Medicago truncatula: one gene and its partners. The protein of the gene in region 2 binds, or shares a complex with, the protein of the main gene of each other region. Links are inferred from orthologs where the notes say so. Each region holds a gene or a part of one and is shown on either strand. Other genes may lie near its edges.

Region 1 (7,689 bases), on a different chromosome or scaffold from region 2:
ATTGCTTCAATATTTCAAATTATACTTTTTATTCTCCAAAAGTTTACGACTATATCTTTTAAATTTTACTAATAGATTTCGAACCCTATATGGGTTTAGATTGTATGTATGTAGACTACATCTTTAATGAAGTCTGGACGCTCAAAACCATTCCCAAATGAATGGATTTGGTAGCTGGGAAGTAAAAAAACGATCGCGATGTGACGGTAGAATTGATAAGGTATGTAGTACTCAAACTTAAAATGAACATTTTTAATCATATTTATCATGAACATGTTGAGATTGTGTTAATGAAAATTAATTATGAATGTATTTAAGAAAAACTAGTTATACATTTTAGCTAATCAGTTATTATAGTAAATAAGAATTTTATTTATTGATTGAGTTATACGTTAAGAACGTCCACAATAGAGTCTTACATACAATATAAACTTCTTTTTTTAGGGATCATAATTTTTTTTTAGTGATAGGATGTACATCAATTAGAAAATTTCCCTCATAGTGCCTAAAAAATCAATACCACGAAAAAAATTGAATCTTATAAACCAATAGTATGCGAGATTAACAAAAAAACCTCCCTAATATTTTCTCTCCGATCAAAACCAAAGAACCACCGAGAAAGACAAGTCAAATCCCAAGTATAACTAACTCCCATCCTTACCATATAATAATCCTATACCAAACTTTATAGGTCACCCTTTGAGTAATAAAAAAACGATACGCAGACTCGAAAGAAACCCCACAAAGAGCATAAACAAAGACCGTAACAACCTAGGAAACATCATCCTTAATGGAATATCCCCCCACATAAACTTTATCCCAAGAGGAATACGTTCGACTATCATACAAAATCTTTACCATTCATTAAGTGAACCAATTCGAGTAGCATCGACTCACTTCTTCAAAGCGATACTCATTTCCACCGTGGGAGGGAGCTGACAACATGCAACCCCCTCTCTCCATAAGTAGTCGAGATATGAATAACATCATTCGTAGCACAAATGATATCTCTCCATATGATTGCATCTCCATAGAGGAGTCTCCGACACCACTTCCCCATCATATCTTGGTGAACCAGCCTCTGATCTCAAATCCCAAGACCATCCCCCTTTCGACTTAGGCCGACACACATCCTCGAAGCAAACCCAAGATATCCCAGTGCCCCCTGTTCTACCCTCCCTAAACGAAGCATCTCTCTAGCCAAACTTTCCTCTTCCATTCCTTGACATGGATCTTAATTAACGAGAGGTAGAAGATTTCAATTGAATGAAGCATAAAGTTAATTAAGACCACCCTCCCACCCAAATTAACAAACCTATCACTCCATGAACGTACACTCTTAGCAATAAGCTTAACATCAGGTTCAAATGTCCATTCTTTACTAGGATATGCCCCGACAGGCACACTTAAATACTTGAAAAGAATATACCTCACTCTACAATGGAGGAAGCTAAGATAAATTTAATGTTGATTTCGTATTTGAAGACAATAAAAAATATATTGAAAAAAGAATAACAACTTTAGTAAAAAAAATAATAAAGAATAACAATCATATCTAAAAAATTGTAAATGATCTTTATATGCGGGGATAAATTAGCATACCCCATAGTCTTTAATATGATAATTTTTATAAAAAGAAACTAATATTAATGAACTTATTTAATGTTATAAAATCGATAATTTTCTAAAAAAATATCCTTAACATCTTTGTTACTGCTAACTTGTGTCGGTTTTGGATTTTCGATTGGTTTATGACTTGATTTTAAGTTGTCCTTGTTTTGGGGAAGTTTTCAAGCTAAGCCTTTTTTCGATCTGGTTCTGTTTAGGTTACCACTCTATTTGAAGATTGTTCGAAGGATTATTTCCTAGGTTTTGGTGGGTCGATTGTTCTTGCTTCAGGATTGAGAGTTAGTGTCTATGTCCAATTATTTAGGTTGATTATAGAGTCTTCTCCGGTAGGATGGGAGTTGTGGGGGTGCCTTAGTGATTTGTCTATAGTATATGGTGGGTCAATCGCTTTTGATTCAAGATTCATAATCAATTTTTTGACTCAATTTTTTTGCCTTGTTATGGTGTGTTCTCTGACGGACCGGAGGTCGAATGTAGGTAGAACCTGAAGGATTGTTGGAGTAAGCCTTTTCTTTGGTGTTTAATCGAGCTCAATTGTGGAGATGAGAAGATGATGTTCTGTTTTCGAGGGTTTTGATTGGTTGGATGGCTTGTTTGAAGCGTTATGGTGAGTAGTGGACAATATATGCTTGAATTTTGTTTATGTTGTCATTCGCGAGGAAGTGTGGGGTCTTGATTTGACTTAAGTGTTGACTTTGATTTTTGGTGGTTATTTTTCTTATTGGTGTTGGTGGTAGCACTGAGTTTGGTGTTATGGTTTTTTTTTTTTTTCCTCGATGTTCCATCTATATAAGACTTCTTGTTTTGTAGTTTTAGTTCATGTTTTTCTTCTGCAGAGACTTGATTGTTAAACGTTGTTGTTTCAAAAAGAAAAATATTCACTTTGTTGAAAATAGTTTCATTTTCTTAAAATAAAAGCAAATCCTTAAAGAATATTATTGTTACAGTTTTACTTTTAACCATGTTCATGTACAATTTTAATCTTGAATTTATATATTATTTATTAGCAAAATTATATAATTTTTTTTATATATTTTTATATCAGTCATTAAGATAAATAGAACATAATTTTTCTTCAATTTTTTTTTTTTTTTTTTCATTTTACACACTACTTCCGTTGAAAATAATTGTTGCAGTTTGACCATGTACACTACTTACGTAACTTACTTTGATCATATTTATTATTAATATATAAAGAATAATGTTAATAAATAAAATATTGTTTTATTCTCATAGTAAAGATTTTTAAAATATAAATTTTAATGATTTTTGCTAATAAATTATTTAAGATATTAATGGTCAAAATTATGCATTGACATATATAAAAATTAAAATTGTAACAATTATTTCAAGATAAAGGGAGCACCATTGTTCTTTGTATATTAGTAAATAAAAATGATCAAAGTAAATAACTCGTTAACAAGACCCATATTTTAAATGATCAAAATCTAATACTTAGTTTGAGATGGAGTAGTAGTTAGTTTTATATTCCTTTCGTCTCTTATTATAAGTCTCTTTGACTAATTTCACATATTAAGAAAAGTAGGTAGTGTAGATAATATATCAAATTTGTGTGTGAATTTTACTAAATTGTCCTTTGTTTATGTGTATTTAATTTTCCTTTTTATATTCCAATGCAATTTAGTTGTATTAATTAGGGATATATTTAGGAAAAAATAATAAATGCATCTAATAATTTGTATAAGCCTTATATTTAGACAAGACTTTTTTCAAAGAGAGCTTATAATTACGGATTGTTGGAGTAATTAAAGACAAAGGAAATTAGTACACATGATCAAACTCTAACACTTTGTGCGGAAAAGAAATTTTTTGTATGGTATATTTTTTCTTTTTGTTAACCTTCGATTTTCTAGTAAAAGTTGTCTAGTAATTTGAAGTGCGTTCGAGAGTAATTTAAGTTTGGTCGATTATTATTTCATCTAGGAATCAAACTTATGTTCTTTGGAACAAATTGTCTTTTTGTAGAGTCGATTAACCACTTTTTTTAAGCAAGTTCATTAACCACTTGAGTTTAATTGTTTGATTAAAATTTTCGTATGGTATTAAAAATTAAAATTAAAACTATTGATTTATTTTTCAGTTGATCAAATTATATTTTCGTTCTCTTAACTTAATTTGCACATATATTTTCAAATTGTAAATATATAACCTTCTTCGTAGGGGAATTACTCATCAGGATGACACCTCTTGCATTGGGGGGGGCGGTTGTTCTGAGACTGCGGCTCATCTCATTCTTCATTGTGACGTCTTCGGTTCAGTGTGGCACTATGTTTATCGGTGGGTAGGCATTTCTTTTATTGCTCCAGCTACAGTTGGTGACCACTTTCAGCACTTTGGACAGTTGGCAGGTTTGTCGAGGTCTGCTAATTCTTTTCTAACAGTAATCTGGCATGCTTGTGTTTGGGTTATATGGAAGGAAAGAAATAACAAGATTTTTCAGCAAAAGTCATTGACTTCGGATCGTTTATCAGAAAGGGTCAAGATTATGTCTTTTAATTGGCTTAAGGCAAATATGCCCAGCTTCGCCTTCAGTTATAATGACTGGGGACAACATCCTTATTATGCATGGGGTGTGCTGGTGTAGCTTTTTGTCTATTTATTACGCTGTACCTTTTGAGTTAAGACTGTACCAAACTTTGTTTTGTTGGGTGTTCTCTTTTGCACATTTTGTGCAAGATGAATCACCTTTGATAAGTTAATATATTTCATTTTGGCTTATTCAAAACAAAAATTCATATATAACGGAAATGAAAAACCATAGATTTAAAGATTGAGAGAACATAAAAAAATGAAACCATAAATTTTAAACATGAAATCCATATGAAAATAAATCAAAAAGGAAATAATAAAATAAAATAAATAAATAATTAAATTATTATCTAAAATTTTGTTAAAAGACCAAAATGTTATTGTGCCTTTTTTGAATTTTATTACATTAGAAATCCTCTTCTTCTTAACTTTGTTGTGTGGAACAGAAAAAGCCACATCATCATCAGTGTTCACTCACTCACTCAGCTGAACTGAGTTTACTGCTAAGCAATGTCTTCTCTCTCTTCGCTACCTCTTTCTCTCTCTATTCGTGCTTCTTCTTCATCACAAGGTAAAGTACTACCTACCAGCTCTTCTTTTTCTCTGCATGCTATGAAGCACTCTTACGGACACATGAGACTTACACACGGACACCGATAATAATTTGATAAAATCACATAATTCAATGTAATTATATGTGTAAGCGTGTCCGTATCAGGGACATGCCTAATTTGACGAACGTCCGTGCTTCATAGTGTGCATGCAACCTTCCTTCACTTCTCTTTTCTCATATCAGTCTTACCCTTCTTGTTTTGGTAGCAGAATCCTCCATTTCAAAACAGGACTGGAGGAAAAGGTCAAAACCTATCCCACCAGGTGGAACCTACCCAGCTAAAGATCAATGCAGTCGTTGTGGATTGTGTGATACATATTATATTGCTCATGTTAAGAATGCTTGTGCTTTCTTGGGAGATGGAATGTCTAAAATTGAAGTAAGTCTCTTTAATTTATGAATGATGCTTATCTATGTCATGTAAATTTTACTCTTCAAATTGGTTAAAAAAATTTGTTTTTTGTTTTTGAAACTTTTATGTGATATGAAAGGACTTTTTAATATTGTTTGTAATTGTTAGCATTATGTCAGATGTAGGGATCAAGTTGATTTTGTAAGGCTGAGTTAGTCTTAATATAAAAAAAATAATATGGTAGCAGAGCTATTCATTTGGGTCATCCGATATCGACTTGGGTTGGTCTGATGGTGTTAACGTGAGACCTTGGAGTATGCTCCTCGTTAAGGTCCCAGTTTCGATTATCTTCGGTGCCAATTTGGGTGGGCTAGTTTAGTTACTTCAAAAAAAAAAAAAAGTTATCCAAGCATTAGGTCCAATAGTACTGGGCATGAAGAGGCCAGTGTTGTAATGATGAGTTAGGCCAAGTGTAAAACATAGTAGGACTTGAAACTGAAAGAGAAAAGGAGAGGAACCCTTTTCTTCTCCGACTTGAGTTTTATGTTCGCTTATTTCACAAAGTTACTAACAAAGTGATGATTTTTGGGAACAAAGCTGTGTTGCTTAGCCACATTAATATCAAATCAATTAGTTTGCACCTAGTGGAAATAATCAATAAGCAGCCATTCTAGTGTAGAAGAATCTGGCATTTGAACTAGATTTACTTTTTCAACAAAAATGGTTCACTTCTATTGAATGATTACTTGTCAGGACTATGTTAATGTTAGTACACTTTGTTGCACAAAGCTGATAAGGAATTATATCAAATTGAAATTTCAATATGCAGCAGTTATTTCTTTGTGACTTCAGCATTAAATTAAACTTCATTTATTGTATGCCTAATTCAAGCATTGCCTTAATATTCTTATAAGCATTAATCATGAGAATTTTCATAACTGATATAAATATATCCAGAAAATGACAAAGTTTATACAAACCAAAATTGATTGGACTCTTTATCATTCCTTTTCTGTTTCAGAAATTGGAACCTGTTGTTCATGGTAGAGGGAGAAAAACTGATACCTTAGACGAGACATACTTAGGTGTCTTTGAGGAACTTCTGTATGCTCGGAAACTTAACCCTGTCGAAGGTATATTCTGACTTTAAAATTGTTTAACTCTTATGCTTCCTCGTTCTAATGAGTATGACACTATCAAATTCGAGAATCTTTGAGTGCAGTGTATTTATTGCGCTCAAGTTTTAGAGTTCAAACTATAATTTTGTTATGCTGATAAATAAGCATTTAAAATTATTCTGTTCTGCTTTTTTAGTGGGACCTCTTGGCTATTCTTTACCTTTTAAGAAGCATTTTTTCAATGGTTTCTCTGATATGTGACATTGGTAGGTAATCCCTTTGTGGGTATTTAGATAATTGAATAGTTAGGCTGACTATAAATACTAAATAGGGAGGACAGATCAGCTTGTCATTTGAAAGAATACGGGCCTTTTGACATTGAAAGGTGGGAAAACCCTCAAAGCTCTGCCACTATTCTATAAACCAGGAAATTGTTCCCCATTTTTTGTTGCAAGACCAGTTTGTTCCTAGCATACTTTGATGGCCTCCTAAATTTATTTAGGATCATAGAAATTAAGATCACACCGAAATGTTTCATTGATATAACTATTTCTGTTTCCTTTAGTATTTAGTTTGGAGTAAGGCTTCAATGTCAATGTCTAACGCCTAGTTTGGATAAACAACATAATTAAGCGCTTATAATATAAGTTATGTATAAGCTTTTTCTATAACAAAACGATAAAATAAAGTCAAGCTGATTTCATATAAGCTATAAGTTGTTTTCATATGCTATCATGGAGAGGTTATAGAAACAACTTATAGCTTATGGATACTTCATAAACTGTTTCTATAAGTTCTTAGCAGTTTCGCAAGTTTGTATTCTAGTAGTTAAGCTTAAATTAATCAATGCAAAGAGGCCCTCATTGAGCTTTTGGACAGACCAGAAGCTTAACTGTAATTTAAGATTGGAAAACATTATATAGCACGACACATGGTTGTTGTCAAATGCACACGACGTGTATTCTGCCAACAGCTATTTCAGTTTTTTAAAATTATTTTAATCAAAATTTAATTTAAACCAAGATGATGATGCCATGTAAACAGTCGTACCTGTCGTGTGTGGATTTTGTCGTGCACAATAGCACAGCTCTTTAAGAATTACTTGTCTTGTACAATGAAATTGTGTTTCGAAATGTCCTGCAGTTGCAACTAATTTCTTGATTAAATTATTTATACAATTATGTCTATGATGGGCATAGTCATGTTATCAAAGTTCTGATGAACAGTTTTACTTGTAAAATTCGTTCTGTTCATAGGAGCTCAATGGACTGGTATAGTAACAACCATTGCAATTGAAATGCTTAAATCAGGCATGGTTGAAGCTGTTATCTGTGTACAAAGGTATCATAAAAAATCTACATGTTTTTATTGGAGTCATATTTCTAGTGTCTTTTCGTTCTTTAATCTGACTTTATTTTCTGTGTAAT
Region 2 (7,657 bases):
CACTCGTCGAACGTTGGACGTTTATACCGAACGTGTTCTACCCTCCTTGTGTCTTCAGGGTTGACTCCTTGGTTGAATTCAATCAGTTCATCCTTGAGACCTCTTAACGTTACACCAAGGCATCGAACCTTCAACCTCTGAGGTTCTCCGTCGTTGAATTGTGCATGAACGTCGATCCACCTGGCCATTGCTTCAAATCTACACAATAAGAAATTAAAAATAATCAATGAAAAACTCATTCAAACACTTGTAGTGAAAATTTGACATAAACCCTAGCAATATAACTTCATTATAATAGGTATTCATAATATATGTTAATAGCATTTCAAATCTACAACATAACTATATTAAAAACAAAAATTCAAAATTTAATAATTAAACGACCACTAAAATTATAAACATGTAAACACATATACTAAAATGTATGACAATAGCATAAGTGATAACTTACTTGTGATTTAGTGGAAGAAATTTTGGATAATTTGGTAGAGTTTTTTAAAGAGTTAGTGAATATTTGAGAGAAAGATGGTGAAGGTGATGATGGAGTGAGTGAGTGTCTGGGTTATGGCTAATGACTTGAATATATCACGAACACAACGGCAGTTAACAACCACTGGAAGCCAGCATCAGTTAACTGCCGACGCATTGCCTAACGCCAGTTAACTGCCACTGGAGGTAAAAATGTCATTTACTTATGTCAATAGGAAGTATTCTATGTCAGAAAAGCAATTTTCCCATATTGAAACCAAAGAAAACCCGGTCCATTCTCAAAAGAGCAAAAGCTTATATGGGTTCTTCCAGAACCTAACTTTGAAACAAACCATTTTCAAAACAATAGTATAAAATTAAAGGTAATTAATGAATTTTATCCTAATCTTTAAACTTTTATAATTTCGTTATCATCATTAAGATTATTCTAACACTCAAAAAATCAATTTAGGGTTTGTGAATTTTTGCATCAATGTCACGAAGACGAAATTTAGTGGTTGCTGCTGGATTACTTGCTTTTGCTTCAGCAGGAATGGCTTTTCCTTTCTACATGGCGTAAGTTAAATTCGATTTCATTCGCAATTTTGATTTTATGTATATTGATGAATTTGAATTGATAATTTGCAATTTTTGGATTTTTAGTTCGTCGAAGAAACCGGTAATTGATCCAACAAAGCCACTTTCACCACAAGCAACATTTCGAGGACCTTATATTAATACTGGGTCACGTGATATTGGTCCTGATCATGAAACTTATAAGAAGAAGTGAATTAATTTGACCCTTATTGAGATCAAGTTCGTGTTTTCTTTAGTGGTTTTTGTAATTTTGAATTTTAAGTCATGCAACTAACTTAGAGTATAGGTGGTTCATCAATCTGTAATCTGTATGATTTATTTCGCAAACGGTGATTTTTTTAATAAAAAGAAGATGAATGTTGTTATTTAATTATGACATGTGTATATGTTAAATGGGTTTGGATCTCATTCTCAAAAGTTAGCTCAGACATGCGAGTGCGAGGGAAGTATGTAAGTTAAAAAAGGTTTTGTATGGGTTTAAACAAGCTCGTCTCTTTGTAACTCTTGTATTTATGATTTTGTATTATATTAGAACCCTAGTCCTTTGTTCTTACTTTCTGTGCTTCGCTGTAGATTCATTTGTTATAATATTGATGTTATCGGATTGTAAATGAATATTGTGTTGCATGTTCAAATGGTATTAAGCTCGTTGGTAGCATGAGCTTATGATGATGTGAAGGGTTCCTCTGCATTTGCATCTATGTTCGTATCATAGATGAATTTAACATTGTGAACAAGTTGACCCCTGAAGTGTTTACAAGGCATCGGATTAACCGAGATAAGTGTTGATGTTGATTGTTTTACAAATGGTTTTATTGTCTGGGGAGTGATTTTTAGAGATTATGCAGGGGATGTGTTTTCTGAAACCACCAAACTTGAAAAGATTGAAGCGTTTCTCACCCTTCCGTGCTTAGGTGGTGCCTACAATGGGTTAAGGAGGAAGACATGGCTAACTTGAGAATTGAATGTGAGTGATTCTGAATGGAGTTACTAAGTTAGCAGAGATAGATTTTGTTAATATTAGATGTATTGATCTGCTTATTCAATTAGAAAAGACTAGAGTTAGTAGTATTAGAATTTAGAAGGGAAAAATGCTGTGGCATGTGGCTCATGCTCTAGATTGGTCTATAGTTCTGTTGCTGACCTAGTTTATCAAGTTTATTGTAATGATCTTTCAATCTAATGAAACTGGATTTTCTGTAAAAGAAATGTGTAGTTTGAGTTCAGGTTTGTATATTTGATTCTATACAAGCAATTTGATAGGATTGTGTGACTGTGATTAAGATTATTAAGATTGTGTGACCTCTGACCATGAATTGGTGTGAATAGGTCCTTTGTTATGAGCTGGGCTCAGGAAAGTCCAGGGGTCCAGTCTGCAGAAACCCTTGGCCCTGAAGTGTCCACAAGGCAACTGGAGTCAAAATCGGAGACCCTTGGCCCTGAGATTTACCGACATACGTGTTGATGCAGGCTGTTTTACAAATGTTTCCATTGGTTGGGGAATTATTTCTAGCGATTTGGTAGCGGTTCTTTGGTCGCAACCAGCAAACTTGAGAAGATTGAAGTATCTCCCACCACCCTTCCATTGACATTAAGGCTTAGGAGGTGCGTACTGTGGGTTAAGGAGGAGAACATGGCTAACTTGAGAAGTGTTAAGGAGGAGAACATGGCTTACTTGAGAAGTGTATGTAATTCTGAATTGAGTTAACAAGATAGTTGAGATAGATTTTGTTGCATTGGACTGTATTGATCTGCTTAGTGAATTGGAAAATACTGGAGTAAGTAGCATTAGAACAGAAAAAGATGTTGTGGCTCATGCTCTAGTTGGTGTAGCAGGTAATGTAGGAAGTAGAGATTAGTCTAGCTCTGTTCATGACCAAGTTTATCTAGTTTATTGTAAAGATCTTTCAATATATTCTAATGAAATTATATTTACTGTGGAAAAATGTGTAGTTTGAGTTCAGGTTTGTCAAATTTGATTCTATACAATCAATTCGAGAGAATTGTGCGATGCCGATTACGATTCTCAAGATTGTGTGACCTTTGACCATGAATTGGGGTGAATAGGTCCTCTGTTATGAGCTGGACTTAGGAAAGTACCAGGTCCAATCTGCAGAAACGCAGACCCAAAAATGGGTAAATGCTTCAGTGTCGGAGGCTGAGATGCGTGCCACTGAAGAAAATATGCCGAATATGTACGGTCACTTACACGGTCGTTGCGGGTTGCGACTAACATAAGGAGGCTTACGCTTCATGGTTCAAATTTTTGGACTGGACTAACTGCAGTAACTGTGTGAAAGGCCAAAGGAGTTGATGATGAAGACAATGTCTAAACTATGAGCATAACTTTTTCTATTATCATATGACATCAGAGGAAATAAATACCATGTCATTTGAAATAAAACAGTTTCCCCAACCCAACATTAGTCATCTAGTTGTACTAGTAATTGCTTTGGGTTAAATGCAATTTTAATTATATATCTCTTGTATGAGACAAACATATAAATGTATGATTACAGGTGCTTCGCTTTAGAGATTAGTTGTGGAGATTGAAATATTGAGACTAGTTTTCTAAAATTTATTAGCTAGTTTTAGAGATGAGTTGTTTGAGACCTTCCTTGGTCAATTTTTTTTTGTTTTTGTAATGAGACTGGTGTTCTAGAACTTTTTAGCTCACCTTCCAAATATTTTGCTTTTCACGTTCCCATGCAAGATTAGATTATACTGTGACGTGATTACCAAAAGCACCATCATGTTTATAAGAACTCAATTCGATTATGAAACATGGAAAAGAAAAAGAACACACTTGATTTTGGAAATTTGTGCAATAAGCACATGTATAGGTAGGTATGAACCCTTCCTTGATCACCAAATACATGCAGCGGTGTTACAAAGTGGAATCAAACTTGAACATGACTGGTGCCTCACAAGTCACAACCACAACTGGCGGTGCCAACAGTTTCACATGAGTGCATGACACATTCAAGAACTTCGAACACAAGTATGAATATTATCAGTTGAATTAAGTTTTACGGACAGAAATACAAATATTAACATGTAGTAAGCCACGTTTATATGACACTACAAGGTTCCCATTGTTTTTCTCCAAAATGACTGTCTAGATGACTAGATTATACAAGTGTTAACGTGTTGGATTGTACAAGTAGATACTCGATACCTCCAAATCCCTGGTCCACAGGTACCAAAAATGTATGCATTACTTGTCAATACCTGCATCAACCTTTGAACACTCTTCAAACTTGTGTGGACGTTCCTCATTACGCCACGTTACTCTTTCATTTTATTTTCTTTAAAAACTATAATAAAATTGAAATTTGTCACCAAATTAGATTGAAACATTACAACAAAATTTGACAATATTTTCACTCATTGTTTCCAATAAATTTCCTATAACTCCACAGTTTAACATCAATTAATCAACATTAACAACTACTCTTACAGTGATTGATTCATTAGCAGAAAAATTAGACAGAAAAAAACTGGTCTGACAGTGACACTGTTGAACAAAACATTTGTCTGAAAACTAAAAAGACATAAATAAAATGAGAAACATTAGAAACTTGCACGTCTCAAACAATTCTTGTTCATATATATAAATTTCTTCCACACTTCACAAATTCAGAACTTCTAAACAAAAAAACACCATTGATGGCACTTTCACCCACACTTTCACCTTTAGCAACACTTTCATCATCAACACCAAGAAACAAACCACCAAAACCGTTTCTCTTTTCATCCTTCACAAAAAAGTCACAATTTTTAACAAATTCAACAAGACCCAGAAACAGAAACAGAAGAAACCTTTTAGTAACAGTTAGAAGTGTTGCAGCACCACCCACAAAAACTGAATCGTACCCAGAAGCTGAAAAGAACGAAATTGATGAAGAATTTGAAGATGAGAGTTCTTCATCGAAGTTTTCATGGAGAGATCATTGGTACCCAGTTTCTTTGATTGAAGATCTGGATTCTAGTTTGCCTACGCCGTTTCAGCTTCTGGGTCGTGAAATTGTGATTTGGTTTGATAAAGCTAATTCTCAATGGGTTGCTTTTGATGATAAATGTCCTCATCGTCTTGCTCCTTTGTCTGTAAGTTTAGTTATTTGTTGTTGAACATTGAATTTGAAGTTGTTAGAGGGAAATTGAATTAGGCCATGTTTGGATAAACTGCTTAATTAAGCATTTATAGCGTATAAGTGTTTATGTATAAGCTATTTGTATAAGAAAAGATAAAATAAAGTGAAACTGTTTTCTTTCAAGCGATTAGCTATTTTCATAAGCTATCCAGAAGGACTAATGAAAATAAGTTGAAAACATCTTATAAATATGTCACAAGCTATTTCCATTAGCTCTTACCAGTGTTTATGCCGGTAGATGAGCTCAAATAAGTCAATTTCAATAATAAAAGATGAAATCAAATTGTTTTCATATAAGCTATAAACTGTTTTCACAAGCTATCCTGAAGAACCAATGAAAATAAGTTGAAAACAACTTATAAACATGTTAGGGGCTATTTCCATAAGCTCTTACAAGTGTTTATGCAACTAGATGAGCTCAAATAAGTGATTTTTCATAAGCTCTTACAAGTGTTTATGCCAATAGATGAGCTCAAATAAGTCAATGTAAACTGACCATTATGATTTGGTTGGTTTTTGCAGGAAGGAAGGATAGATGAAAGTGGAAACTTGCAGTGTTCTTATCATGGGTGGTCTTTTGATGGACGTGGAGGTTGCACTGTGATCCCTCAGGCTTCACCTGAAGGTCCCGAAGCACGTGCTGTTGGGTCTCCTAGAGCTTGTGCTACTAGGTTTCCTACCTTGGTGTCTCAGGGGTTGCTCTTTGTTTGGCCTGATGAGAATGGTTGGGAGAAAGCAAATGCATCCAAACCTCCAATGTAATGATTTGTTTAATTATGTCTTTAGTCTAATTAATAATATTTGTTAATTTGTTTAACTTGTAGTAACTGATGCAATGAGTGTGACTCAGTTGGTCAATGAGTGCTTAAGCTACAACTTAAGCACCTGAGTGGATATTAATCCATAATGGGTTCAATGATCTAAATTGACGAGAATGTTTCGACCTAAATACCCTAATTACGTTGGTTTCTTAGAAAAATTGTTGTGATTGGGCCACTTAGAAATGTTATGTTATATTAAAATGTTTGTTGTGTACCTTTATTGATCTGCATGGTAAAATTGTGTTTTTCAGGTTGCCTGATGACTTTGTAAAACCAGAGTTTGCAACGGTGAACATTCAGCGCGATCTTTTCTACGGCTATGATACTCTCATGGAGAATGTTTCTGATCCTTCTCACATTGATTTTGCTCATCACAAGGTACTAATGATACATTTCAACTTGACTTTTAGGTGTGCAGGTTATTTTATATTCAAACAGAGTGCTTGTTGATAATATTTTTATTCAGATATTATTGTAAGTGGAATTTGTTGAATTAAATATACTAAGTGATGCCGATGTGGTCCGAAAATTGTGAAGGGAGGGCCTTTTGGTTTGTTCCATTTTTATATATTTTCTCTCACTGAAATTGCTGCTTGCTCAACATATTTTATATATCTTCACTTAAAATAACATTATATTGCGCTATTAAGAATTTAGTCAAGGACAGTGCTTTTTGAGGATAAGAAACTAGATGCTTGTAATTAATTAATTTTTTATTTCATTTCTTCCAATAATCACTTTCGATTGCACCTTTTTAGAAAAGAAAAAAAGGGCAGCCTTGTGCACTAAAGCTCCCGCATACGCAGGGTTCGGGAAGGGGTCCCACCATTTTGGTGTATTGTACGCAGCCTTACCTTCTTTTTTAGAAAAGACGATGTTTCCATGACTTGAACATGTAACATTTTCAGTCACATGACAACAACTTTACCGTTGTGCCAAGGCTCCCCCTCTCGCACCTTTTTAGTAAACCAAAAGTGAAGTTAATAAATACCCAAGCACTTGGGGAACCCTCTCTTAAAAGCTAGATATCAAGAAGGAAGAAACTCCACCGTGAAGCATCCCATGATGAGAGCCGATTTCCCGGCGGCTGCTTTCTACGATGCTTTACTCAGTCTTTCCGGTCAGCACCTCCATTTGGAGCCCTTTCTAAGACACTGTTTGAATGCTAGATATTAAGGGGAAAAAAACAAACAACTTAAATACACCATCGTGCATTCCAGACTAATCGATGTGGGAGAGGAAGTGCAAGCAAAAAAACGGTGAGGCAGCATAGGAGATGGATGTGTGCAAGTTTGTTGCACAATAGTATTGTGTCTTAATGATTTATGCTGCACAGTCAAATTCCCTTTTGGATTTGTTAAACTTATAGATTGATTGTCAATGTTTGTCAATCATTTTGCATATATGTGTTATTTAGACGCTATCAATATAAGCAGTTCCAAAAGTTGAAATGATTTAATATTGTTTTTTTAGGGTTATCGATATCACTAACATAAATATGATATATACGCCATAGGTTACAGGAAGGAGAGACAGAGCCAAGCCTCTTCCATTCAAGATGGATTCACGTGGTTCATGGGGCTTTTCAGGAGCTAATGAAGGGAACCCACGGATCAG
Region 3 (7,258 bases), on a different chromosome or scaffold from region 2:
CAACTATGAAGCACGGACACTAGTCACGACATGGACACTGACATTGCTAATAATTTGAGAAAATCACATAATTCAGTGTAATTATGTGTCGGTGTCAGACACAACACGTGTCCGGCATCGGAACACGCCTAATCCGAGGAGTGTCTGTGCTTCATAGACTCAATAGCAGGTGGCCCAACAGATCTTGCATAAACTCTTTTATGATCTAAGAATTACAGCTGAGCTTAACCGCTTAACATAACCCTACAGAATTAGCTTGTAAGATGAGGGATGCCTCCAACTTACAAATTCATTTTCAGGCCTAACTCGTATCCAATGTGCGGCTCTTAACATATATTGCACTTAAAAAGAAGCAAGAACAGAAAGAATTGTTCAAGTTAATAGGTCAGGAATTGCATACCTCAGGGACTTCATCATGAGGGCAGTGACCAGCAGGGCTGATTTGATAATATGGTGCTTCAGGAACCTTCCTTTTAACCTGAAGTCCCCATATAGGTGTCACCCAAGGATCTTCTTTTCCATACATGAGGCAAATCGGCACCTTGTTCGCTCGACATCTAAAACATACACACCGCAAAAACCATTAACATGTGTATCACGTATATCTAATACTAGTTAAAGATTTAGTCGTGTCTACCTTGATAATGTTTCGCTGAAGGATAATTCCCCTTGGGGGGCAAACATAATTGAAGCAAATGAGGCTGCCGCAGCAGGATGTCTTGTGGTTTCGATTATGCGTGAAAAAACGTTATCCACATTTATTGAATGATCTGCGTAAACCTGATTAAGTACATCGGCAATACTTTTCGGATCACTAATTTTCTCCCACCTAAAGGAAACAAATTAATAAGAATCAGGTAAAATGTAATAGATATGATAAAGGGCACCTGGAGGTGTACTATCAGCAGTATAATATCACTCAGATGATCAACTATTATATTCGCAAATGAATGACTATATTGGCGACATACAAGAAATGTACTAATCAGAAGTTCGCAGCTAAAATACTAAATCATATCAGGAACTAAGAAAAAAACGAAGCAATAAATAAAAATGAAGCCATACTTACACCAACTCTGTAAGTTTCTTTATATTTGAAGGTAGAGGGAATGTTCCGGCCCATGGAAATACTTTGGCAAGTCCAGGAGATTTTACTGGATTTGGCAGAAACCCCCAAAAAGGTGTTGCATTAAGCAATGTCACGCCTTTCACTAAATGAGGATAGCATGCAGCAAAATATAAAGCAACGTATCCTCCTAGTGAGTTGCCTACAATATAGACCGGTTCACCGATGACCTGAAACGAATTTGTATAATAACATTTAGATTATAGTGATATAAAAACTTCCTCAAATATTATTTTTGAAGATAGTGCAGAAAAGTTCAGCAACATTACATATTTGAGTAAGCATTATAAGTATAGGAAGCATTAAAGTGCTGATGATTACAGACAACATTATTTATGGAATACAAGAGTACTTCTACATCGATTTACCTAACCTCGTTTGGATAAACAACTTAACTAAGCGTTTATAGCATAGATTCAAACTGTATTCATATAAGCTATAAGCTGTTTCATAAGCTATCCTAGAGAGCTTAGGGAAATAGGCTGAAAACAGTTTATAGATATGTCATAAGTTGTTTTTATAAATTCTGCCAAACAGTCTCTCAAGTGCTTATGCTAGTAGATAATCTCAAATAAGTCAATTCAAACAGAATTTTCTTTTTTAGACAATAATCCAGCATAAGTTGTTAGAAAAAAAATCTAAAACCACATAGGAACAAGCAAATTTGCCAAGAACATTTTCCAGTATACTATTTGAGCAAACAATGGATTAAAATAACTAAATATTTGCTGCTACCAAACAGTGCAAGTCATTTACCTCTTCAATGAAGTACCGAACTTGATCTTGCCATAAATCAACCGAATACACAAGCTCATTCGCCCATGGTTCAGTTTCATCTCCAAAACCCCAAGGCGAAACATTTCCACTCGATGTAACCCCTCCTTCCTTAGACGAAGGAGCAGGATCTTCAAAAGGCAAAGACATTCCTTGTCCTAAAAAATCCAGCGCCCAAACTCGAAAATCACGACCTAAATCCATCAACTGCTTCTCATAATGAAAAGAACCAACACCGAAACCCGGCAAAAATAGAACATTTGGAGAATCCAAATTTTCACAACCAGCTTTCTCATAATGAACATTCAATTTAGGTTTCCATCCCTTAAAACAACTACGTATAACCGCACCGGATTCACCGTTTGATTCATCCGGTAAACCAGGAATCAAAACCTTTGAAGCAGGTACATCAACCCCTACAATATCTCTTCCTTCACCTTCATTAATCACATAATCACCATAACTTCCACTATTAACCTTAAATTTGAGTCTTTTAGAGCCTTCAAAAACACTTTGTGACCTAAACCCACTTTGTTGATTACCCTTATCATAAAATCTCAATGACCCAATTGTGTAAAGATTATTGATATAAAAACCTCCATTTTTTCTAATATAAAAAACCCTTGATTGAGTTGAATTCGAACTATTTTTAACTGATTTTGTCTTTGTGTTCATAACTTGACAACATGGTGCAGAACCATATGAAAGAGTTTCCATTTCTTAGCAACTATGTTCTACAGAAACCAACAACAGAAAATGATTCAGTATGCTAAAAATTCAACTTGATTTTCACAAAAACATGAACAAAGTAATATGAATTTTTTTAGAACAAATCAAATATTATATGTGTTTCATACACAAATAATTGAAACTAGAAAAATTAGTTCTTCAAACATCAATTAAACATGAACATGTGATAATTAATAAAAACATGAACATGTTTATGGAAACATTACCTTAAATTTAGTGAAAGAAGAAGCATGAGAATCTAGAACTACTCAAAGAATCTGGTATATATTAGTTGTTATAGGATTAAGAGCAGATCCAAAGAGAGATATACAATAGTTTAGAGTTGCTTGGAAGATTCTACTTCCTCTATGAGCCAAGAAAAACCGAATAATATATTTTTATGAGTTTAATTTATACACACTTACACACTTTTTTTTTGGTATTTATAAAATTTTGTTTAATAAATGCATCTGATAAATATAATTTATTTTCAATTTATTAAAAAATAATAATTTATTTTCTTTTCATTTTAATAATAATTATAAAAAAAGTCAAATAGTTTATTAAACTAAAAAAGACTTACTATAATATTAGATGACTTATACAAAATTTATTTTAAAAGTCTATTAAATTTTAAATTAAATTTAAGAAAAAATTTATCTAAAAACAGTTAGATGAGATGATAATATTTCTCTTTTAATTTAATCAAAGTTCATAAATTTAATAAAATTTTTCATTTATTACAACTTATTTAATTCGAATGATTAATCTCTATAGTTATGCGTATAAGATATATCCAATTTAATTTTTTATTATTTTTATATAAATATTGAATCTAAAATTATATAGTGGAGCGATGATTAAGTATTCCTTGTATTCGTTAAATGAAGAGATTAAATTAACTACGACTTTTTTTAATATAAAGTTAACCATGTTTTTTTTGGAGCTGATTATATATAATATATATTATATATAACTATGCTGATGGAGTTGGATGAAGAAATTAAGTTAAAATGAGGAACTTTGTTAATTTAGTTAAGAAGAAATCCTGAAACCTAATATTTTAAATTAGTTGATTAAGAAATTAGTTTAAAAAGAAAATAAATTAAACTAGCTTCCATGTTCGAATATTAAGTCTTCTATTAGGTAAATATAATTGTCTTGCAAACTGAGAAAACATGTGATAAGTTTGGTTTTGTCTTCTACAGAGGAATCATCCCCACAACGCACGCAGTTTGGACAAAATTAGACAGAGCCAAAGTTCTACCCACCACCAATATTTCATATTGGCCACACATTAGTTTTGATTTATAGTACACACGTGTCCAACATGGTAGGAATTCAAGTGTATGATTGATAGAATGCTACCGATGTTAGAATCACTATGATCCACCACGATTTTTCATAAGGTAAAAAGTGTAGTTTTTGGAAAATAATGATGGATCATTGTAATTCTGATATATTTATCGATCATTGTGATTTTGACATACTCCATCTATTCCAAAGTATAAGTAAAAATTGGTCAATAAAAATTAGGCTTAATTACCTTTTTAGTCCTCTAACTATTTAATTGGTATCGGATTGATCCTCTAACTAAAAAATAATTTATTTCGATCCTTTAAGTTTCTCATCGTTACTACATTTAGTCCTTTTTGATAGTTTTATTCAAATAAACGTTAGAGTTTCTGTTATGTGTGTCCTCTAACTTTATTTATTAGTATCATTTTGGTCCTATGCCTTGTTAAGGTATTATGATTAAATAGTGACTGATATTATTGGTAACTGTTATGGTTCATATGTATGTGTGAAATAGGAGGTCAAGTGCCCACATAGCATAAACCCTAACGTTTATTTGAATAAAACTAACAAAAAGGACTAAATTTAGTAACGGTGAGAAACTTAAAGGACCGAAATAAATCATTTTTTAGTTAGAGGACCAATCTGATACCAATTAAATAGTTAGAGGACCAAAAAGGTAATTACGCCTATATAATTAATGTATTTGATCCAAAATTTGTATCAAATACATCAACATATGTTAATTCATTTTTGCTTATATTTTGAGACGACAATAAATAGGTTTTTCAAAATAACATAGCTTACAACACACATTTTTGAACGCATCCAATCAAATTTATATGGGACATACAAAATTTAGTAAGATCTAGGTAGTAAATTTTAGACTTAATTGCGGATTGGATTCTCATATTTTCACCATTTTGGAGAATTGATCCTCCTATTTTAAAATTTGACAATTTTGATACACCCATCAATTATTTGGTCTAATATATCGTGACATAACATGTTTAAAATGATATTTTTAAGGAATTTTTTTAAAACTTAATTGATGTTGATTTTCATCACTAGATCATATATCACGACAAATCCACTTGGGTTAGTCTGATGATATTGATTTGTAACCTTAGAGTGTGTTCTTTCTCATGGTCACAACTTCGATTCTCTCTGGTATTTTTTATTTATTTTTCGACAAATTCTCTCTGGTGTTAATTTGAGTGAGCTAATTATCTTCTTTAAACAAAATCATATGCCAAAATTATGAGTTTTTTAAATATGGAGAACAATTCTGCAAAATAGTAAATATAGATGGACTAAAATTGTAATTATAAAAAATGAAAGTGTTTGAAAATGTATGTCAAAGAATATATTTTTTAAATCCTAACTGTGTTTTTGCAAAAGTTCACTCTTCATTTTTTTTTTTAGCTCGGTATCGTGCCCGTACGCGGGTTCGTTGGGCTGCGTCCGTGACTAGTAAATTTTTGTAAGAATAGATTAGGACTGGTCCTCTCGGTACGGTTTATTACGATGTATTCCTGTATAGATTGTACTTGGGTCAGGTCTCATGCCCCCCAATCTTTGTATCTTTCTTTTTGTTTAATATAATTTTTATTTTGCCTAAAAAAAAAAGGTATGTCAAAGAATGTGATGTTAGTACTCATTTTTTCCAAAACAGCAAGTAAAAATTCAAGAGTTTTTACGGTGAAAGCTTTGATAATCTGTAGTTCAGATGTAGTTCAAATGCTCAACAATACGTGTATTGTAAAGTGCGTATCAAAGTGTATAGACAATTTATTGTAAAGTGTATTGTAAAAGTACGTGTTAAAATATGTCTAGTTAAGATGCTCAACAATTTATTCTTAACAGAAGTCGATTTATCACTTAAGCCTGTTTGTTTTGGCTTTTCAGCATCAAGAAGTGATTCTACAATTATCAAAAGTGAAAAATTGAGTTTTCAATGGTGTTTGGTTTGGCTTTTAAGAATGATGTAGGATTTTTACATCTCATAAAACTATTTACACATAAGTATAATAGGATCGTTATAACACCCCGTTTTCCCAACATAAAATTTCCATTTAAATAATCAGAGTATTCATCATAAACGGAATGTCACACTTCTTTTCTTAAAACATAATTGGAATAATTAACTAATTTTCCTTCAAAGTTCAATCAACATAATATTCAAATCATAATCATCATCATATAACAATATAAGTCATCACATCATAAACTTCATCTTATAACAACATAAACAACACATCATAAACTTCATCTTATAACAACATAATCAACATCATAATCATCATCATAAGCACTTCGTTAACGACACATGGGTAAATAGCAACTTAACAACAACGACACAACTTCAACTTAACAATGCAACTTAGACTTCTTATTCATCTTAGACCATCTCAAAAAAATGCAACTACAACCTCTTAATCATGCATGTGGTACCAACCATGGCATCAAACCCCCAACATATTGAGCATAAATACACTCCCATGGCATCAAGCCCTAAACTTAAAGAGCAAAAGCTCACATGGCATCAAGCCCTCAACGTATTGAGCATAAATACACTCTCATGGCATCAAGCCCTCAACTTAAAGAGCAAAAGTTCACAGAGCATCAAGCCTTCAACGTAAATGAGTATGCATGGACTCAACAACTAATGCAACAACAACCAACAACTTCAACGACATCGTCAACAACTTACAACTTTAACGACATTGACAACAACTTACAACTTTAACGACATTGACAACAACTTACAACTTTAACAACTTGACCAACATATGCAACTTAATGATTTAATAATCAATACAGCAGAAACATCAACATACTACAACTTCACAACATAACATCATTAATAATAACAACTTGAATGGTATAACAACATTATTTTCTATATCATACATTTTCCACATAAATATATGTAACTCAAATTATTCAACAACAACATTCACATAATATATGTATTTCAAATTATCCAACAAAGATATTCACGTCAAACCAAATTATATCTATCACAACATAGGTTAAATACTCTTAAACACCCTAGTTGAACTCATAGTACTTCTAGTTTTGAGGTTTGGAATTATTCCTTAAGTTTTGGATTAACTTAGACCTCCTTGGAGTATTTTCATCATATCTCAAGAGCCAAAAATCATTTTCACATCAAACCAAAGCCACTGGAAAGCTAACTCAATTATCTACAACTTTCATGTTTACACCAAAGGCCAATTCAAAACAGAAACGTGTGAAAAAGACGCAAACACATGAAACAGGACGTGCTGTCAGAGAGCAACTCGGGAAAAACTCACTTTTCACCCCCAA
Region 4 (7,148 bases), on a different chromosome or scaffold from region 2:
CTTTATTGCCTAAATAGAAACTAAACATCCATGCATAACAGAGCACCTACTTTATTTACAGTGCCTCTTACATGAGAATATATTTTACCTCTCGACAGCATATCATCAAGCCAAGTGTGTTTGTTGTAACCACCTCACTGCATGCACAGAATTAAGAATTTCAAAGAAATAAAATGTAAGAATGATATTTAGGGTGCAAGGTCTAGTGACTCACATAAGATCCTCATCTGATGCTTCGGCAAGTGGCTTGTAGCTATACGCATTTGATCCAGCATTATTGATCTACACCATTCTCAGCATAGGCCGAGAAAGAAAAGAATTAGTAAAGTATATTTTAACAAACACATTCAATAAGATTAGGGAGTTAAAACAAATGAAATATTGGTATAGCTTTGTGTTATCAAATGCGGATGGTGGATAATGGTGGAAAGCCAAAAATTCATCACTCTAAGCGACCATATTCACCATAAAACGCCATGGTGCAGCAATCTGTAACAAATTGGCCATGGCTGTTATCAAAAAACCCTCCACCACGATCCACCATGGCCATAATTGACAACAATGATATAGCTACGAGACAATTTCAAATTATAAACAGTGTAAGAATTGAAGGGAAAGGGGAGAAGGAAGGAAAATCGCTGATGCTAAGTGTAAGTGATGATGATTGTGAATCTAACTACGAAAATAAGATGGCCAGAATTTCGCTAAGATCGTCAGCTTACATAGTAGATCAATCAAACCATGAGTTTATCAATGAGAACCAATTAAATCCTCGCAAAAAGTTTCTACTCATATTGCAAAATAAAAATTTCAATGGGAAAAAGAAATCAGACATTAGTACCCATATATCAATGTATTTCAGTTTTTCTTTAGCAAACGAAACTAGTTTCTTCACATCCTCTCCATTTTTCACATCACATGTAGTGCCCTGCAAGAAACAAAATGCGAACATGAGAACATAAAAACGAGTGATATATTTATCGTAGATGGGTTTCTACTAAGATAGAAGTTCAAGAGGAGGTACCCACACATGCTGCTCCCCAAATTCTTCTCTCAAGCTCTTGACTGCAGTCTCTACCCTTTCATCTATAAATGAATACCAAGGTATATAGAGAAAACAAAAACAAAGTCATGGAAATGAGATAAACAAGACTGTGAAATCCCAACCACTCAGTCATAATTCACAAGGTAAATTGAGACAAACAATAACACAAAAGTGATTGGTGCTTATATTTTTATACCAAGTTAGTATCAAATCATTATCAATCGTATTACACCGAAATCATATTTGTTTTCATTCTTCTCCCTTTTTTTCCTAAAACCCATAACTTAAATAGAAAGAAAATAAAACCAGCATTCAATTTAGTCCCTAAACTATGAAAAAAAAGGTAGTTCATATAGAATATAAAATTCGTAAGTTTACTTCCTAAAGTATATGGAAACGGGAAACTGTGAATTTAGCACCAAATATCTTACGATCAAAGACGAAATTGACGGATTCTATATACTTTACGAACTATTTATTATATTTGGATAGTTTAGGAACTAAATTGATAATTTATCCAAAGGAACCAAGGGAAAGATTAACAGAAAGATCAATCATTGATGAATCGATAGCAGAGTGATATACATATAACTTGAAGTGATATTGAAGTATATAGCATGAACAAATAAACAAATGCATAGTTGAAACATAATGAAAATCCAAGAAGTTATCCACACCTGATCTTGAGCAAACTAAAACGTTATCTCCTGCTTTTAGAAACTCTTTCGCCAAAGCATACCCTATCCCTAAATCATAAGGTAAATATGATTCAAGGTAATTGTTGAAAATGAGCAACTAAAGTGCAAGCAAAACTTACAAGTTACAACAACAACGAAGCCTAATCCCACTAAATTGGGTCGGCTACATGGATCAAACTATAAACTATATTTCAGTCCAACTCATTAATCTTTATATCCTTCTTAATCGTTTCTCTTATAGTTTTTCTAAGTTTTCCCGTGCATCTAGTGATTTCACTACCCTTCATCTAATATACTCTCCTTACTACAAGATCTACAGGTTTTCTCTCTAGTGTATGTTTGGTTCTACGGTGACAAGAATTGATTCAGACTAAAAGTGAGTTGAAGGTAAAATGATTTGTGTTTGAATACATTCATGTAAAAGTGATTTGAACAATAAATTTGTGTTTAAAAATCAATTCTAAAATTAAAAACTACAAATTCTAGCTTCAAATACAATCAACTCTGAAGGCAAAATCAATTCTACTCGATAGCATCCAATCATGTCTGAATCAATTCTACAACTTAAAATCAAATTTGGCCTCTTTAGAAGTAGAACCAAACATACACTAAGTTTCTGTTTGGATTGACTTAATTTTGAGCTTATTCAAAATAGCTTATGCAAATAAATAAACTTTTATATTGATTCATAAGTTATCACTAACGAAAATTGTATCTTCATAAGCTGTTTTTTCATGAACTACCTTAGACAAACTTATGAATAATACATACAAGCTTATTTATTTGCAAAAATTGTTTTGCATAAGCTAAAAAATAAAACAATCCAAAACAGACTTAAATTGTTACCTGAACTCTTAATCTAATATTGCCATTTCTAATCTTATCTCAACTATTTTACATCTGAATAGGATATAACCATGTACATATCAAGATTTTACCACTCACTGAATACTAACACTTTCATTCAACCATCAAAGAATAAATACAAATAAATTTAAATTATCCAAAAAGAAAAGACCTTTGGTTGAGCCAGTAATCAAAACGTTATAAGGAGGAAGCATGGTATTGTCGTTAGAAGAAGCTGTTATGATGAGAAAGGATGAAGAAGTTGGTTTAGTGAGAGAAAGAGAGAAGCGGTTATTATTGTTGCTGTTGGGGGTGCAGGAAGTAAATGTCGTGTTGAATTTAGGCAGACGAGAGAAGGGAGAGATGCAAAGCTGATGAGAAGAAAGCAATTGAAAGGAAGCCATTGATGATGCCATGCCAATTCACTGCTACAGCCTCAACACTTCCAATTTTCTTCTATTTACTCTTTTTATTTTTGCGGATAAAATCATTCAAATTTTGATTATTAATAAGTATTGTTTAGTCCCCATCAGCTAACTCATTTGTTAAGGGATAATGCACAATATGTGCAGGGGTCGGTGTTCGAACTCCGGACATCCTACTTATTCATTTAGCCACTAGACTACTTGATAAAAAAAAGAATAATAAGTATTATTTATGACGTTTTAAAAGTTATTTTTTACAAAAAGTTAGTTTTTATGTTTTGAATGTATAAATCATAAAAAAAAGTTAGTTTAAACTTTTTTATCAAAAAACATTTGTTAACATTTTCTTTGTTTATGTATAATGATAGTTTGATTTTCTTTTCGATTATACCTTTTAAGATGACAATTATATTAATAAAGGAGGATATGATTATTCATCTAAGTTGACACCAATGAAAATTATTTATTTGTCTTCAATGTTTTACTGGATAACATAATAGTTTTATTTTTTATTTTTTTTAAGGATGTATAACATAATAGTGAAAGACAAATTAATTATTTTGATTGGAGTCAATTGATAATAATTCATATGTGTCATCTCCACTCAGTTTTGTTCATTTGTAAATAAGAATTTACCTTTATTTAAACTAGGGTTAAATAATATAAAATAATACAGAAAATACAAAGAAACATGGAGGGACCTAACCTAAATTTAACCATCAAAAAGAAAAAAAAATGATACAAATATTATTATCTAGGGGTGTTTGTAGTGCGGTTTGAATCAGTTATGGACCAAAAATTCGTTCGATTCAAATAATTTAAATAGTCGTAATGCGGTTCGGCTTGGATGACTTCTTAAAAACTCCGATCCAACCCAATTTTATGCGGAATAATTTTGATTGGATTTTGAATATTCAAATTACAATTTCGTGAAAACATCTATTGAAAATAATATTTTAAATTTATGATAAAATCAATGGTTTGATGCAAAAAATAACTTATACTATACTAAAAAAATAACAATTATGAATGATAATAATAGTTAATGTTTGAAATAGTAAAATAATAATAGTTAACTTCTAAGTTTTTACTCAAAGAAAACAACAAATAATAGATTAAAGCGATATATTATTGTAATTGAAAAATAAGTATTGATATTTATGTATGTGATTCGGTTTGGTTCGATACAAATTCAAATTTGGCAGTTTTGTGTTGTTTTCGATCTTTTTCGATAGATTTGTGATTTTGAATTCCCCTACTTTACTCTAATTACATATAGTGTTAAATTTATTTTTTTGTCACTATAAATATACACTTTTCATTTGAGTCTCTATGAAATTTACAATCACAACTTTTGGTCCATATTTTTTTTTTTTTAGCACAAGCTAAAATGATATATATTAATAACACCGGCTATAACACCCCGCACAAGGCGTGCAAAAAGTGGAATTTCGAAAAATATTTACAAGTACAAAATGCCCAAACACAGGCACCACCCTACCACAAATCACAATAATTCAATAAAGGACCCCCATACAAAGAAGCGGGTGAGTCCACCAATCATACCAGTTAAAACTACAGTATTTAAAATTTGCTTTCATCCAAAAAAATGAATAACGCTTAACATTGTCTAGTAAACCGTGAGAATCGAAAGGCTCGTTTTGAAAAATGCATTTGTTCCGATTCTGCCAAATAACCCAAGCGCAAGAATACCAAATTCCTTGCATAAAAACATGAGTGCATCTAGGAAGTCCCGCCATGAAACAGAAATGCTTGTGATGATCATGTAACTCAAGGTGGCGCGCTGTTTCCGTCACGTCACAACCAGCCGTGCAAGAGACCGCTGCCGGATGAAGAATATTTCGTCGTAAAAGATTGTCACGAGTCGGAAGTCGATTACGAAGCAAACTCCAAACAAACAACGAAACCTTTGTCGGAATAGACTTATGCCACACATTGTCAACGAAGCTCCTATCCACCTGATGACCATTATTAGCAACAAATCGATACGCCTCTCGTACAGTGTAACCATGAGTAGTATCAAGTGCCCAACACCATTTATCGGTAACATTAACCTGCAAAACAACGTTATGTAATAATATGGAGCACTCCCGCACACACTCCTCCTCCCAAGCAAACAGACGACGTCTCCACAACCACGCCCGACCATCCACCTCCCACCCCTCCCTCTCCATCTCCGCCACCATACACTCCTTATTTACAGCCAAGTCAAAAAGTCGAGGAAATTTAAATCGCAAAGGCATTTCTCCAACCCATTTATCAAACCAAAATAAGGTAGTAGAACCATCTCCCACAACCCGACGGACATTACCTTCAAACCAATTTCCTGCACCCTCTCCAACCCCCCCCGCGGATATTACAAAGCATCCGCCACCAAGGCGAACCAAATCTACCCCCTCCTTCAGCCGGCCCCCCTCCTCACCATATTTTTAAATCAACTTATGTATTTTATTTTACCAAATTGTGCATAAATGTATTGACAAATATGAATCAAGTAAAACGATTTTGATGTAATATTATTTTGATGTAATTTAATCCCTCCTCTGCTACTTCAATTCAATGTGCAATGTAAAGACAAGAAATCAATTAAACGATGCCATGCGAAATGGAATTGGGAAAGCAGTTGTCAATTGATACGCTTATGTACAATTTTTGTTTGTTTATAATTATTAAATGGCCCACATAGGTTATATTATTTGAAAGAATAAGATTAAGGGTTAAATATGTTTTTGGTCCCTATAAATATATTAACTTTTCGTTTTAATCCCTCTAAAATTTTCCTTCAACTTTTAGTTTCTCTAAAAAATTTTGCATGCTTTGATGTCATCGGACCGTAGAGTTACAGCATTCTTTGATGTCGAAGCACAAGTTACCTTGGTTCATGCTAGCTGACTTATCAGAGCAGCATAGCACAAAACTATTGTGAGGTCTGGTCGCATTCGAAACAATTGGAGAGTTCACTAAAAATTGAACCAACATTTTTTTTTTCAATTTCTTTTATCATTTTTTTAGAGGTTATTTCATCATTTTATGTCTTTGTTTTCTTGACTCAATATTACCCAGTACAAAACAGATGTTACATATCTCATCTAGCAATATTAAACAAAAAAGGGAGACGACTTATTGCATCTATAAGATGATGACCCGGTACAAATTATATAAGTAACTGCCAAAACTGTACCTACCATATATAAATAAAAAATATAAACATTAGTGTACATAATGGTTACAAAATATTTTGGATTTGGCTTGAAGGAGACGACTAAGATATTCATTCAATCAACCTTTCAAGTGCAAACCAAATGCCAAAACTGGATGCCCTTTCAAATTCAAAAAAGGGAGAAAATGAGAATAACGAAATCAGGAGCCACTAAATAATGCCTAGGAGAAACTCATGTAGGACACCAGAATGGGTAAACTAACCTAAAAAACGATCAATTGATAATAATTCAATCAGAACGTCGTTTCGATGATTTTCTACGCTTCCCTAGGAGTTTTAACATGTTGTCAGTGACATCAGGAGGAGATTTATCGTCTTCAGGCTGAGCATTGTCAGAGGTGTGAGTTAACCAAGCTAATGCCTCTATAGCTGCATCCCTTTCTGCAAGTTGCTTATTCCTTTTCGGTTTGCCAACAAATTGCATTCCTTTAAACTCTACCAATGCCCTGAACTCATTTGTCTTCAGATGTTTTGTTTTATATTTTGGTGCGGAGTGCCCTGCTCGCATCAAAAGTGTTTGCAGCAAGCTCTTGGGGTTTGTTCCATCTTTAGTGAATTTATTCTCGTCGTTAGAGGCCTTAGGCTTCCGGCTGTCACGACCAAACACAAATCTTCCTTCACACTGATCCCCTGAAACCAATTCTTGAACAGCAAGCATCAAATACTTCCCTTCCTTGTGAATGTCAATGCCTGGATCTTCTAGCTGCATTATTATAAAATCCATTATCATTCAGCATTGTTTTGTATTGACAAGTAAAGAAGGAATACAATTTTTTTTTTGAAGAAGAAAGAAGGAATACAATTACAACAACAAAAATATGCAAACCTTCTTTTGGATAAGCTTATCAAGTTCGTCCTTAAGCTTCAAATAGCAGTCAGCTAAATTAGGATCC

The links.
Region 1: pheophorbide a oxygenase, chloroplastic (region 2) and 7-hydroxymethyl chlorophyll a reductase, chloroplastic share a complex: the UniProt entries of both Arabidopsis thaliana proteins name them as parts of the SGR1-CCE-LHCII complex. The link is inferred for Medicago truncatula from reciprocal best matches to the Arabidopsis thaliana genes ACD1 and HCAR.
Region 3: pheophorbide a oxygenase, chloroplastic (region 2) and pheophytinase, chloroplastic share a complex: the UniProt entries of both Arabidopsis thaliana proteins name them as parts of the SGR1-CCE-LHCII complex. The link is inferred for Medicago truncatula from reciprocal best matches to the Arabidopsis thaliana genes ACD1 and PPH.
Region 4: pheophorbide a oxygenase, chloroplastic (region 2) and chlorophyll(ide) b reductase NOL, chloroplastic share a complex: the UniProt entries of both Arabidopsis thaliana proteins name them as parts of the SGR1-CCE-LHCII complex. The link is inferred for Medicago truncatula from reciprocal best matches to the Arabidopsis thaliana genes ACD1 and NOL.

Annotation. Positions count from the first base shown.
Region 1 is NC_053042.1:17,899,658-17,907,346, reverse strand, and holds the start of 7-hydroxymethyl chlorophyll a reductase, chloroplastic, read left to right. Parts: upstream 1-4,689; coding exon 4,690-4,750; intron 4,751-5,001; coding exon 5,002-5,171; intron 5,172-6,165; coding exon 6,166-6,277; intron 6,278-7,518; coding exon 7,519-7,603; intron 7,604-7,689. UniProt on the Arabidopsis thaliana protein: Probable iron-sulfur flavoprotein that converts 7-hydroxymethyl chlorophyll a to chlorophyll a using ferredoxin as a reducing equivalent. Catalyzes the reduction of a hydroxymethyl group to a methyl group. Belongs to the chlorophyll catabolic enzymes (CCEs).
Region 2 is NC_053045.1:28,997,272-29,004,928, forward strand, and holds the start of pheophorbide a oxygenase, chloroplastic, read left to right. Parts: upstream 1-4,651; 5' UTR 4,652-4,734; coding exon 4,735-5,172; intron 5,173-5,741; coding exon 5,742-5,977; intron 5,978-6,291; coding exon 6,292-6,418; intron 6,419-7,556; coding exon 7,557-7,657. Other genes in the region: uncharacterized protein, read left to right, coding at 962-1,044, 1,132-1,258. UniProt on the Arabidopsis thaliana protein: Catalyzes the key reaction of chlorophyll catabolism, porphyrin macrocycle cleavage of pheophorbide a (pheide a) to a primary fluorescent catabolite (pFCC). Works in a two-step reaction with red chlorophyll catabolite reductase (RCCR).
Region 3 is NC_053044.1:11,853,794-11,861,051, forward strand, and holds the start of pheophytinase, chloroplastic, read right to left. Parts: upstream 3,019-7,258; 5' UTR 2,857-3,018; intron 2,635-2,856; 5' UTR 2,618-2,634; coding exon 1,883-2,617; intron 1,297-1,882; coding exon 1,070-1,296; intron 830-1,069; coding exon 638-829; intron 558-637; coding exon 401-557; intron 1-400. UniProt on the Arabidopsis thaliana protein: Alpha/beta hydrolase dephytylating specifically the Mg-free chlorophyll pigment (pheophytin), yielding pheophorbide. No activity on chlorophyll. Belongs to the chlorophyll catabolic enzymes (CCEs).
Region 4 is NC_053049.1:16,823,077-16,830,224, forward strand, and holds the start of chlorophyll(ide) b reductase NOL, chloroplastic, read right to left. Parts: upstream 3,006-7,148; coding exon 2,762-3,005; intron 1,792-2,761; coding exon 1,723-1,791; intron 1,087-1,722; coding exon 1,025-1,086; intron 929-1,024; coding exon 842-928; intron 283-841; coding exon 215-282; intron 138-214; coding exon 89-137; intron 10-88; coding exon 1-9. Other genes in the region: DExH-box ATP-dependent RNA helicase DExH3, read right to left, coding at 6,485-6,958, 7,082-7,148. UniProt on the Arabidopsis thaliana protein: Required for chlorophyll b degradation. Chlorophyll b, chlorophyllide b, pheophorbide b and pheophytin b can be used as substrates. Belongs to the chlorophyll catabolic enzymes (CCEs).